Linked DNA regions of Macaca mulatta. The protein of the gene in region 2 purifies or fractionates together with the protein of the main gene of each other region. This does not show direct contact. Links are inferred from orthologs where the notes say so. Each region holds a gene or a part of one and is shown on either strand. Other genes may lie near its edges.

What was found.
Region 1: the proteins of ARHGEF7 (region 2) and PAK2 purify together in Homo sapiens (co-immunoprecipitation; 5 studies listed by BioGRID and IntAct, with this or other methods). This does not show direct contact. The link is inferred for Macaca mulatta from reciprocal best matches to the Homo sapiens genes ARHGEF7 and PAK2.
Region 3: the proteins of ARHGEF7 (region 2) and GIT2 purify together in Homo sapiens (affinity purification with mass spectrometry; 6 studies listed by BioGRID and IntAct, counting the BioPlex papers as one, with this or other methods). This does not show direct contact. The link is inferred for Macaca mulatta from reciprocal best matches to the Homo sapiens genes ARHGEF7 and GIT2.

Annotation. Positions count from the first base shown.
Region 1 is NC_133407.1:2,356,646-2,360,295, reverse strand, and holds part of PAK2 (serine/threonine-protein kinase PAK 2), read right to left. Parts: intron 2,628-3,650; coding exon 2,579-2,627; intron 2,100-2,578; coding exon 1,987-2,099; intron 388-1,986; coding exon 270-387; intron 1-269. UniProt on the Homo sapiens protein: Serine/threonine protein kinase that plays a role in a variety of different signaling pathways including cytoskeleton regulation, cell motility, cell cycle progression, apoptosis or proliferation.
Region 2 is NC_133422.1:105,627,407-105,631,056, reverse strand, and holds part of ARHGEF7 (rho guanine nucleotide exchange factor 7), read right to left. Parts: intron 2,559-3,650; coding exon 2,420-2,558; intron 1,614-2,419; coding exon 1,554-1,613; intron 816-1,553; coding exon 669-815; intron 1-668. UniProt on the Homo sapiens protein: Acts as a RAC1 guanine nucleotide exchange factor (GEF) and can induce membrane ruffling. Functions in cell migration, attachment and cell spreading. Promotes targeting of RAC1 to focal adhesions. May function as a positive regulator of apoptosis.
Region 3 is NC_133416.1:117,161,146-117,165,382, forward strand, and holds the start of GIT2 (ARF GTPase-activating protein GIT2), read right to left. Parts: upstream 2,950-4,237; 5' UTR 2,809-2,949; coding exon 2,757-2,808; intron 1-2,756. UniProt on the Homo sapiens protein: GTPase-activating protein for ADP ribosylation factor family members, including ARF1.

The DNA.
Region 1 (3,650 bases), on a different chromosome or scaffold from region 2:
GTAAATGATCGTCATCACTCTACCGGAATTTCCTTGTGAATCTGGATCTTCAAAGGTCCACAATTCATTCCCAAATTATCTTATACCTGAAGGAAAGGGCTGAAATGCCTGTGTAGGATGAAATGGTATGGGGATGGAGTAACTTGTAGAGAATGTGTACAGAGAAAGCACTTCCCACAATAACAATTAACTGTGCAGAAAAAGTTCCTTTTGTTCACTTCTTGCTAACCACATATCACCATAACGTATCAAGGAGGAGGCACACCTACCTCTCTGCATACAGCAGCAATCTGTGCTTCATCCATGCAGGTTTCTGTTACCACATCAGTGAGCGATCCACCAGCAAGGTATTCCATGACCACAAACAATTCATCTCCTACCAGGTAACTAAAAATACACATACCAAATACACTCACACTTACATTTTTTCTAAACACATGGTATCCTATGTTGAAGAATTCAAATATTAAACACCCTAACAATGAAACTAGAGGGCTGGTAGCTTGAGAGTTAGGAAGAAAATTGGAAAGCTGCTATGTAACAGCACAGAAAAATAACTGAGGTTATGACCCTGAATCATTTTTAAGTTACAGTTTGCCCACAACTGTAGTGTGAGTATGCACACAGATTCATTCTGATTAAAATAATCCTACAATATAGAAATTACTAGTCCCGTTTTAGAGATAAAGAGACAAAGGCTTGGAGAGGTTCGTGACTCATCCAAGGTCACATAGCTATTAATAGTAAGTGACAGAACCAGAATCTGAAGCCAAGCATCAACGATTCCAAAGCCCATGGCTTATCTTAACCACCCTACTATGCTGACTTGAAATGTTATTTCAAAAAGCAGGGAACTGTACCTGAAAAGTTTATTTTTTATTTTTTTTTGAGATGGAGTCTTGCTCTGTTGCCAGGCTGGAGTGCAGTGGCGCGATCTCGGCTCACTGCAACCTCCGCCTCTTGGGTTCAAGCAATTCTCCTGCCTCAGCCTCCGGAGTAACTGGGACTACAGGTGCGTGGCACCATGGCCAGCTAATTTTTGTATTTTTAGTAGAGACGGGGTTTCACCATGTTGGCCAGGATGGTCTCGATCTCCTGACCTCATGATCCACCTGCCCTGGCCTCCCAAAGTGCTGGGAGTACAGGCATGAGCCACTGTGCCTGGCCTGAAAAGTTTATTTCTATGAACATGTTCTCCATAACTAGGGCTAAAGTCTCGAAATGTATTATCATTTCCTTATTCTAAACAAATTTAAATATGGAAGAAAATCACCTATAATCACCTCTATCTTCAATAAAACCACTGTTGTCATTTTCAACTAATCTTCTCTCATTCGTATATGTGACTGCTTTTTCAAGCGCAGTTGTAGTAATATACATCATTTTCTTTTTTTTTTTGAGAAGGAGTCTCACTGCGTTGCCCAGGCTGGAGTGCAGTGGTGCGACCTCAGCTCACTGCAACCTCCACCTCCCTGGTTCAAGCGATTCTCCTGCCTCAGCCTCCTGAGTAGCTGGGATTACAGGTGTGAGCCACTGCACCTGGCCAATATGCATCATTTTCTATTCTGCTTTTTGGTCTGTTATTTAACATTAATTCCTAAACTAAATGAGGTTTTGATAGACATACAATTTGTCCATAAAGGATAGCATTTGAAATAAAAATTGATCTACAAGTTTAAAAACCATATGACCAGTCCCCTGTCAGTCACGACATGAATCACAGCCAACCATTCATGTTTTCACTTCAGGTCATTTGCAATGAATATAAACACCACCAGCTATGGCCTTCATTTAACTGCCTTCTCTCACTTGCCAAGTGATATCCTTGTAGAGAAGGACCTTCTAAAACTGCAGTGTGCTATTTTTACCTCTCCTCTTATTTCTCAGCATTGACAGTTTATTCTAAAGTGGCTAGCCAGCCCCCAAACCATGAGACTTAAAATTTCTACATTTTTATCCCAATGTTTAAGAAATAATCATATTTACCTGTCCAAGAAGTTAACTATGTTGGGATTTTTTAATTCTTTCATCACCAGAATCTCATTAATGATCAATTCCTTCTTTGGCTGTTTCTGTAAATTAATCTGTTTGATAGCAACCTATAATGAAAACAGGATTGAAAAAAATCAGGTTTACGAATTCTCTTAAAAAATTACAAACACCAAGCAGTTAATAACTTACTTTACGGCATGTATATTATATTATACAATGCTATTACTCATAGGTGGTACTTTTACTTGCACATTGCCTCTGCACAATGCTTTGTAATGTATAGAGCCTAAACAGTTTTAGATTTATCTTGAAGTTAATACACCCACAGTCAGTCCAACACTAAGAATTAATCCTCTTTTCACTTGAGCTGAGAAAACAATTTTTAAATACTTGCTTATTTATGACATTAAACTCAAAATTCCTTCTTTGTTCCCCTTAATGACAGAAGTGCTATAAAAACACGTAGAGCAATCCTTACAACATGTTCAACTTAAAAGAGAGTCCTAGTGATTCTTCCCAGCTTTATCTAGTTTCCACCTATATGACAAAATAATGGTAACATCCAGGATTATGACAAAGTAGCTACCTCCTGTCCCAATGCAACGTCAGTAGCAGTGAAAACTGTACCAGAAGCCCTAGAGGGAGAAAACAGCCAGATTTAAGGTTGACAAATCACCAGCATTTACAATATCCAAAGACTTTACACTTCAAGCAACTGAAAAAGAATTAAAGAACAGTGACGACCTAACATGCTTAAAAGGAGTAAAAGCAAAAACACGAGGAAAGGGGGTGGGGGAAGAAAAAGAGACAATCCTCATGGCCAAAACTTATGTTTGAAATATTTCAGACCTACAAAAATGTAGGGAAAAAAGATCAAGAAAAAATATATGTAACATATACTTATGGATACACTTCCCTGATTAAGATACAAAGAACTATAAATAATTTGAAGATTCCCATGAGCCCTTTCCAACAGCAGTCTCCTTCCTCCCAAAGGTGATCTGTATTTGGTGTTTATCCTGTATTTGATGTTCATCATTTTCATGCATTTCTCCATACTTTTAACTACAAAGGACACAGATGTTTATCCCTATAAAATATACTTTGCCTAATTTTTTTTTTTTGAGACGGAGTCTCCCTCTGTCGCCCAGGCTGGAATGCAGTGGCACAATCTCCACTCACTGCAAGCTCCGCCTCCTCCCAGTTTCACGCCATTCTCCTGCCTCAGCCTCCCTAGAAGCTGGGACTACAGGCGCCCGCCACCACGCCCGGCTAATGTTTTTTGTATTTTCAGTAGAGATGGGGTTTCACCGTGTTCACCAGGATGGTCTCGATCTCCTGACCTGGTGATCCACCCGCCTCGGCCTCCCAAAGTGCTGGGATTACAGGCGTGAGCCACCGCGCCCGGCCTGCCTAATTTTTAAAGTCATATAGTTTCATTTCACATATTATCCTGCAACTTGCTTTTGTTACTCAATACTGGATTTGTGATGGTCATCCATATGGATAGGCATTGCTTGTTCATTCATGCTCAAAAATAATAAGATAATCTTCAATTCTCTTTCACAAAACCAGTGCTGCAATTGAATTTAGCTGTTAGGAAGAAATTCAGGCCTGGTGCAGTGGCTCACACCTGTAATCCCAACACTTTGGGAGGC
Region 2 (3,650 bases):
TTCTTTTTCTCCTTAGAGTCTCATGTTCAAAAATGAGTCATTTAGCATGTTTTGATCATGTTATTTTTGCAGAGGTAGAATAAAATTCAAAAAGAGGTGCCTGTTTAGTGACCCACTGAATGTATGTCAATGTGAATCATGAAACAAACTGCTCGATTTTCACTGTGTGGGTGGGTATGTCCCAAAAATCTGAGTTGATCTCTCACTTAAACCAAACCCGTAAGAAAACTGTGACTCCTGTAAGCATATGTCAGCTAGCATACTTTCACAGGAAAGTATAATGACCTGAAAGCACTGAGAGCGGCAGGTCCCTGTGACAGCAAGCCTTGGTACAAAGTTGCTGGCCAGATAAGCGCATACAGCTCCGTGCAGATGTGTGCATGGGACTCCTGGCAAGTCTTTCCGCATGCTATCCTTCAGTTCACGTGGGTTTCAGGCCAGACTGACTTCAGCTGGAACAAACTGGTCAACAAGTCCACACTCAGCTCTAAGCCTCTCTAACAGACCATAAGCCTCTCTCCTGTGTCAAGAATAAAAAGTAGCTCACAAATTATAAGATAGAGCTTCTATTAGACGTTTTTCATTGCCTGAGATGCCTTTAACATCTTCTGTTACGAGCTCCTAAGAGTGGGACAGAAACCCTGATGCATACATGTGGGCAGCAGTACCTCGCTTCCAGCACACTGGATCAGGACCTGGGACATGTAAGTGACGTTGCCCAGAGTTTTAATGTCATCGCCCTCCCAGTTCCGGATGGATTCCGTCAGGATCTGCAGCTCAAGTTCTTTTCTTTTCCGGACTTCTTGACATTGGGCCTGAGAGACACAGAACAACACTGTTAACAGACAGAAACTTCCAAAATCTTAAGTTCTGGCCACATTGCTTTGCATCGTCCTTAAGACAATTATTGCTTTATATCTTACTTCTTCAGACAGATAATCTGTTGAATGATTTACTTAATTATACGGAATTGAAAGTATTTGCTTGAAAGTATGAAATCAAGTCAAAAGAAGCAACGCACACAACTGCTCTGGAATACTAAGTATTATCTTAGAAAAATATAGCAGATTTTGCCACTTGTACAAAAAAGAAAGGTGGACAGAACAAAACTGTATTTTCATTCTGGTTTTGTTAGTGTTTGCCAATATAGAAGACTGAAGAGAAGAAACAAAGCATAACTTGTGCTATAAAATAAGGCATATATTTCGAAAATGCAGTTGGTAAGACAACACAACAGCAGAGAAAATGGAACCACCATTGTTCTGTTTTGCAATAAATCATTAAAGACAACACGAATGAAGGGTAAAAAAATGTTTGAAATAATTTTAAAGTAGATCTAACATCAATTACACTGCGATTTTAAAAATTTTAAGTAATTATTCTATCAGAGTCCGCTAAAAGGAGTTTACCAGCCATAGAATGCCGACTCTGTTTTTCTTTCATGTCAGCACAAGTCATTTTTTAATCATTTGACTTTTTCAGTTGATAATTCTTTTACATTCATTTGTCACAATGATGCCTGGGGGGAAAAAACAATATGCTTAATCACTTACTGAAAGGTTTTTGAAGGCAGCCATAGATTTTTGAATATCTTGTCTATCTGTATGATAATCCTTTGAGTAAAAGAAACATACAATTAGCTTTCGTAAGGAAAAGCTTTTCTTAAAAAGGTACTTTCTACAGACCAGCTTGAAACTTTTCTAATACTTTTCAACCCTTAATATTCCCTTTTTCCCTCAGCATTAAAGTGTCAGTCTTTCAGAAAATCATGAAGCCATCAGACTTGGGGGAAACATACGTTGAAAGAGAACAGTCACGAGCAGCAGGGGTGGGGAAGCCAACACTTGCTTCATCAATAAAGTCTTATTGGAACACTGCCGCGGCTCACATGCAGTATCTAGAACGGCAGAGCCGTGGAGCTGTGAAGAAGACCCTACAGTCTGCCCCCTTACAGAAAAGGTTTGCCAACTCAAGCCAAGAGAGTAACTTTAACCCAAATTTCTGCTAGGATGCAACCTGTTATTCAAAATTAAAAGAGCATAATCATTCATTAAATGATTAGTACAGTATTACCCTATAACTTATGCACACATTGTTTGTAGCTGATGATCCAGATAAGACATCTCAACATTATCTGAAAATCAGTTCTCATGTTTCAGCTTTTGGAAACTTTTCAACCAGCAGCAGTGGGTAAAAGAGAGATAAGTGGTAAATGTTTTTTAATAGAGCTGGAGTAAGGAGAAAAACATAATATTTAACAAAATCATTTTGACAATCCACTAAGTAAAAATTCTTTGTAAACTCTGTTGGTTCTGGCTTCTAAAATAAATCATGAATAATACTTTCTTTCACAGTTAAAGTCTGACCATGCCACTAACCCTTGGTAAGGACTCCGAGTAAGAGAGTGAAAGTGCGGTACCTCCATGTGTCTCTCGAGCTCTTTGAGCAGCGTAGGGTATTTATCCAGGCGCATGAAGGGTTTGCTCAGGCCCGTGGTCAGCACGAGAATTCCAGGGCTGCTGGCACCTTTGGTCTCCATGAACTCCCCCAACTCCTCACTGGGCAGCAAGTGGCAAGGGAGACACTTGTGGTTAGCAATGAGAGGCAATGGTGGCTCTCTGATCTCCACGAGCAACAGCCAGAATTTATGAAACATGAGTGTTGCTTTTAACATCTGGAAGGCTCCAGCTTTGATCCCAAATCTGCGCTGCTTATCTGGAAATGCCAAAGGGGATTCCCACCCCTGAGGGGTCCCATTCCTGCTCTCATATGAGCAAGAGTAACTACACACAGCACAGGATGTGTGGGTCTCCATGAGATCCTACTGACGCCGAGGCCCTCTGGCACATCAGTGCCATGCAGACATGTCCAATGGAAACGTGCACGCTCAGAGCCAGAATGGAGTCCAGTAATCTCAGTCTCAAGGTGGTAAGAACAAGGACTCAGCTGCTCCGGTAAAGAGCTAGAGCACGCCAATGGCCGTCATTCCCAGAGGTGAGTTCGTCCAGCAAGCAGGCCCCACCTAGGTGCTGCCAGCACTCAGCCTGGGAGTAAACAATGGCTCTCGGGGTGAGGAGTGGGAGAAGCAGCAAGAGAAGAGAGCAAACGTTGATTTACGCTTCAGAACTTCAAAAGCTTTGTTACGTTTAATCCTCACAACACATGAGGAAGGAAGGGGTCCCTGCGTGCAGACAGCGAATGCTGATTTATGCTTTAGAACTTCAAAAGCTTTGTTACATTCAATCCTCACAACACGTAAGGACGGAAGGGGTCCCTGCGTGCGGACAGCGAACGCTGATTTATGCTTCAGAACTTCAAAAGCTTTGTTACACTCAATCCTCACAACACGTAAGGACGGAAGGGTCCCTGCGTGTGGACAAAGAAACTGAGTGCATATCCCAAAATTAAGGAGTTAGAAAATTTTAGATCTTCCTGTGTTCCTCTTTCACCATTCCCTTCACGGTGCCTCGCCTGGCTTTCCCTACAGTGGGTCCTCACGTGCGTCACCTTTGTCCTCAGTTCCCACAGCTGTGGCAGAGGACACGGGCAGGATTCTGAGGGGTCCAGCTCTTCACCCACACGTCTGTTAAGGCTGACAGTCACCTGACCGCGACACCCCTTCACTGGCGATCTCTGAGGTCTCTGCCAGG
Region 3 (4,237 bases), on a different chromosome or scaffold from region 2:
TAAGAGGGTTGGCTCTAGAGACAAGCAATTCAGGGTTTGAACCCCAAGTCTGCCACTTCTTGCACAGTGATCTCAGACAAGCTACTTCTTTGAGTGTTTTCACCATGGCTCAAATGAGAATAATAACATATCTCAGGATAGTGAGGATACAGAGAATCAGTGAGGTACCTCACACATAGTAAAGTAGTAACGTTAGCTGTTATATCTTTTCTAAATTATTTTCTCAGTAATACAGATATTTTCTAGATGTGAAATTCACGATCACTGGAAAAAGTTTTTGATGGGAAATATTTAAAACATTGAACATTTCATGTGACCACTATACTACTGTATTGAAAATCTCCATGGAGTTGTCAAGTAATTGAACTCAGAGTGTGATGTATTTGAAACGAACCAGATTCATTAAAAAAACAAACAAACACACAAAAAAATAGAATATTTAAGAAGTGATCATGGTTAAATGTTTGCATAAAATAGAATCAAAATAATTCAATTTATTATAACTGTCACTATTACTATATCATCCTAAAAAGCAGAGATTGGAAATGTCCAGATGAAGGAGCTCTACAAAGATGCATAACAACACTGCTTCCTGCGGTATAGTACTGTCACTAATGGCCAAAAAAAAAAGACTGTTTTGAAGCATACCTTTGGTTTTCACTTATCATTCAGAGGATTTGCACTATTCTTTTTTTAGCAAGTATTTAACACATATTAATTAAGACAAGTATTCGACTAACCACTTTAGCATCCTGGATCAGAATCCCATGGAAAGAATATTAGAATGATAACGTGGTAAAATAAAAATAAGTTTGTATGAATGAGATTGGGTAAAACCCTTTAAGTTCATCTGGAGGCTTTATGCCTGGGCTCCAGGGACACCACAAATGAACTTCAAAAATGTCCGTGACTCCCCTAGACAAATCTTAGGTAAATTCGTTCACGTGCATTTTAGGGGAGAAGGCCTTAGCATTCATCAGAATCTCAAAGGGGTCCCTAACCCTACAGGTAATTCTCTCAGTAGGGTTTTGCAGAAAAGGCAGCACAAATTCCAGGCTGCTCAATTTCACAGAATATTTCAAGGTAGCCTACTTATATTCAAAACAGGAAGGAAGTGACTCAAGTCTCTGCAGATCAGGCGTATGAGACAACAACTAAAGCGATACAATGGAAGAGAAAATGTTCTGAAATGCACAAAATGCTGCAAAAGTATATTTAGGATGGCAATGGAGGAACAATTTTGCTTTGCCCCGTACCCCATCAAGAAGCAAAACAATATGCATTCCAAGAGGAAGTTAGAAGCTGGACACATGTGAATCAAACACATCACAGAAAGTTCGACTGAAAACAGGCAAGAAAATAAGGAAGTGGAACAAATAACATTTTTAGAGAAAACGATGGAGTTTGAGTTTGTATAACTCACACTAACTTGGTTTAGAAAACGCTTCTTTTTAAACTCCTCCACACCCCCTCCCTATCTTCAAAGGAAACTGGTAACACCTGCACTGTACCAGCCATTAAAACCACCACATGAGGTTTGAGTTATCACAGTTCTATTTACAATCAGTCTTCACTTCCAAATGACAAGCTGAAGATCAGAACAGTTGCAAAGCCAGTGGTGTTCAATGATTTGATTAAGATTGTTTATCGGACACTATTGTGCCAAGAAAGCCATGTTACCTTCGAATTAACTCAAAGCCAATACATCCAAGCACCTAAAACAGCATGTAATAATCTATCCAGAGACCTGACAATTCAGTTGCAATTGCTGAGATCCGCTTGATCTCTAAATGTGAATATTATGTATGAACAGTTATGCATCATTATGAAGGAATGGTTTAGCGTTTCAATGCCCCTATATTGCTGGTGATTTTGCGTTTGTTTCAGTTGTAATCAACGTATGATTTAGATAGTCAATTCTAGCTTTAAGGGACTGCAAGTGTTCTATTGTAGACAGCATAACGCAAAAAAGAAAAGCCTTAGATGATATGATCCTACGAGTATTCATTGAATCCTCCTCACCACTGAGCGTGATACTCCCGATTATCCTCATCGAAAAAAATGAGGAAATCAAGCCAAGTGACCAAGTGAAGTCACCAGCCCAAGGTCACCCAGAAGCAAAATCTAGTTTGAACCCAGGCCATTCAGATCCTCAAACTTGAGACACGCACTGCCTCCTAAGTGCTGGTTGTGTCTGGAAGACCCCGATCTACTGGCAATTCTCCCCGACAGAGTAGCTGTCGGATGTCAGGAGCGGAGAAGTCATCTACGGGGACCCTCTGGCGAGACTCAGGGAGTGTCATCCTCCCCGGGCAGGGCACCCAGGCGGAGAGAGGGTCTAGTGGGAGGTGACACCTGCAGCCTCTGGAGGCTGCAGCCGGGAGGACGCTCGCATTTTACTTCTGTAATTGGCTTTCCTGTGTATTGCCCAAGCCCCTTCCTGTTGGGGGAGCAGCCCTGGCCCCCGTCACCTCCCCAGCTGGCCTGGGACGGAGGGAACGGGAGGGAACTAGAGGGAACGAGAGGAAAGGGAGGGCCGCGAGGTACTGGGAGGGCGGCGGCCCCCTGCCCGCCAGGCTCTGACAGGCCTGGGACACGTCCTGCCCCAAGGCCGCCCCGGGACCTCTTCGTTGAGACCCTAGTAGCGGGTTGCGGACGCTTGACCGCAGGATGCCGCCTGACCTGAGTGGGCGGCCCCGGGGTAGGGGTCCGGGCCAGGAAAGCAGAGGGGAGCGGGCCCGGCCGGTGCGACTCACCCGGCCCGCTGCAGTCAGCGCACACCTCGCTGCTCCGGAGCCGTTTCGACATGGCTCCCGCCTCCCACCTGCCGGGAAGTAGAGGCCCGGGGACAGCAAAGGCGGCGGCGGCGGCGCTTCCGCTCTAACGGGTCCCAGCGGCAGCGGCGCTGACGGCGGCGCCTCTCCCCTCAGTGCCTTGCAGCCTTGGCATAGCACGCAAGCGCGGGGAGGCGCCCTTCTGCGAGTGTCAGGTCATGTGACCGGAAAGGGCACGCTGCCTTGTCGCCATCTTGAGTGAGGGCAGGAGACTGCTGGAGCATCATCTGTCCTACCTTTAAATATTGAATTTGGATCTCCCTCTCTGGCAGAGATTCCCCTCGTCCCAACTGATTAATACCAGGGGAAGCAGCAATATCTTGTGATGAGAACCCTGCAGCCACAACCTTCCTGAGGCAATCAATGGTCAAGTTCATTGATTCATTCCTTTATTCAACAAATATTTATCGGCCGGGCGCGGTGGCTCAAGCCTGTAATCCCAGCACTTTGGGAGGCCGAGACGGGCGGATCACGAGGTCAGGAGATCGAGACCATCCTGGCTAACACAGTGAAACCCCGTCTCTACTAAAAAATACAAAAAACTAGCCGGGCGAGGTGGCGGGCGCCTGTAGTCCCAGCTACTCAGGAGGCTGAGGCAGGAGAATGGCGTAAATCCGGGAGGCGGAGCTTGCAGTGAGCTGAGATCCGGCCACTGCACTCCAGCCTGGGCGACAGAGCGAGACTCCGCCTCAAAAAAAAAAAAAAAACAACAAATATTTATCGAGTACTTACCATGTTTTATACAATGTCCCAGCCACTGGAGAAACAGCAGTGAGCAAAGACTGAATTCCTAGTCCTTATGAAGCTTGCATTTTACTGAGGTAGATAAAGTAAAATAAGAGTGTATTATATGATTCCAGGCTAGGCGCGGTGGCTCACTCTTGTAATCTCAACACTTTGGAAGGCTGAGGCAGGCGGATCACTTGAGGCAGGAGTTGGAGACCAGCCTAGGCAACATAGTGAAACCCCATCTCTACTAAAAATACAAAAATTGGCCGGGCACGGTGACTCAAACGCCTGTAATCCCAGCACTTTCTGAGGCCGAGGCGGGTGGATCACGAGGTCAGAAGTTCAAGACCAGCCTGGCCGAGATGGTGAAACCCCGTCTCTACTAAAAATACAAAAATTAGCCAGGCACAGTGGCAGGTGCCTGTAATCCCAGCTACTTGGGAGGCGGAGGCAGGAGCTTGAACCCAGGGGGTGGAGGTTGCAGTGAGCTGAGATGATGCCATTGCACTCCATTCTGTCTCAAAAAAAAAAAAAAAAAAAAAAGATTGGCCGGGCGTGGTGGCGCATGCCTGTAATCTCAGATACTCAGGAGGCTGAGGCGTGAGAATCGCTTGAGCCTGGGAGGTGGAGGTTGCAGTGAGCAGAGATCACGTCACCGCACTCCAGCCTGGACG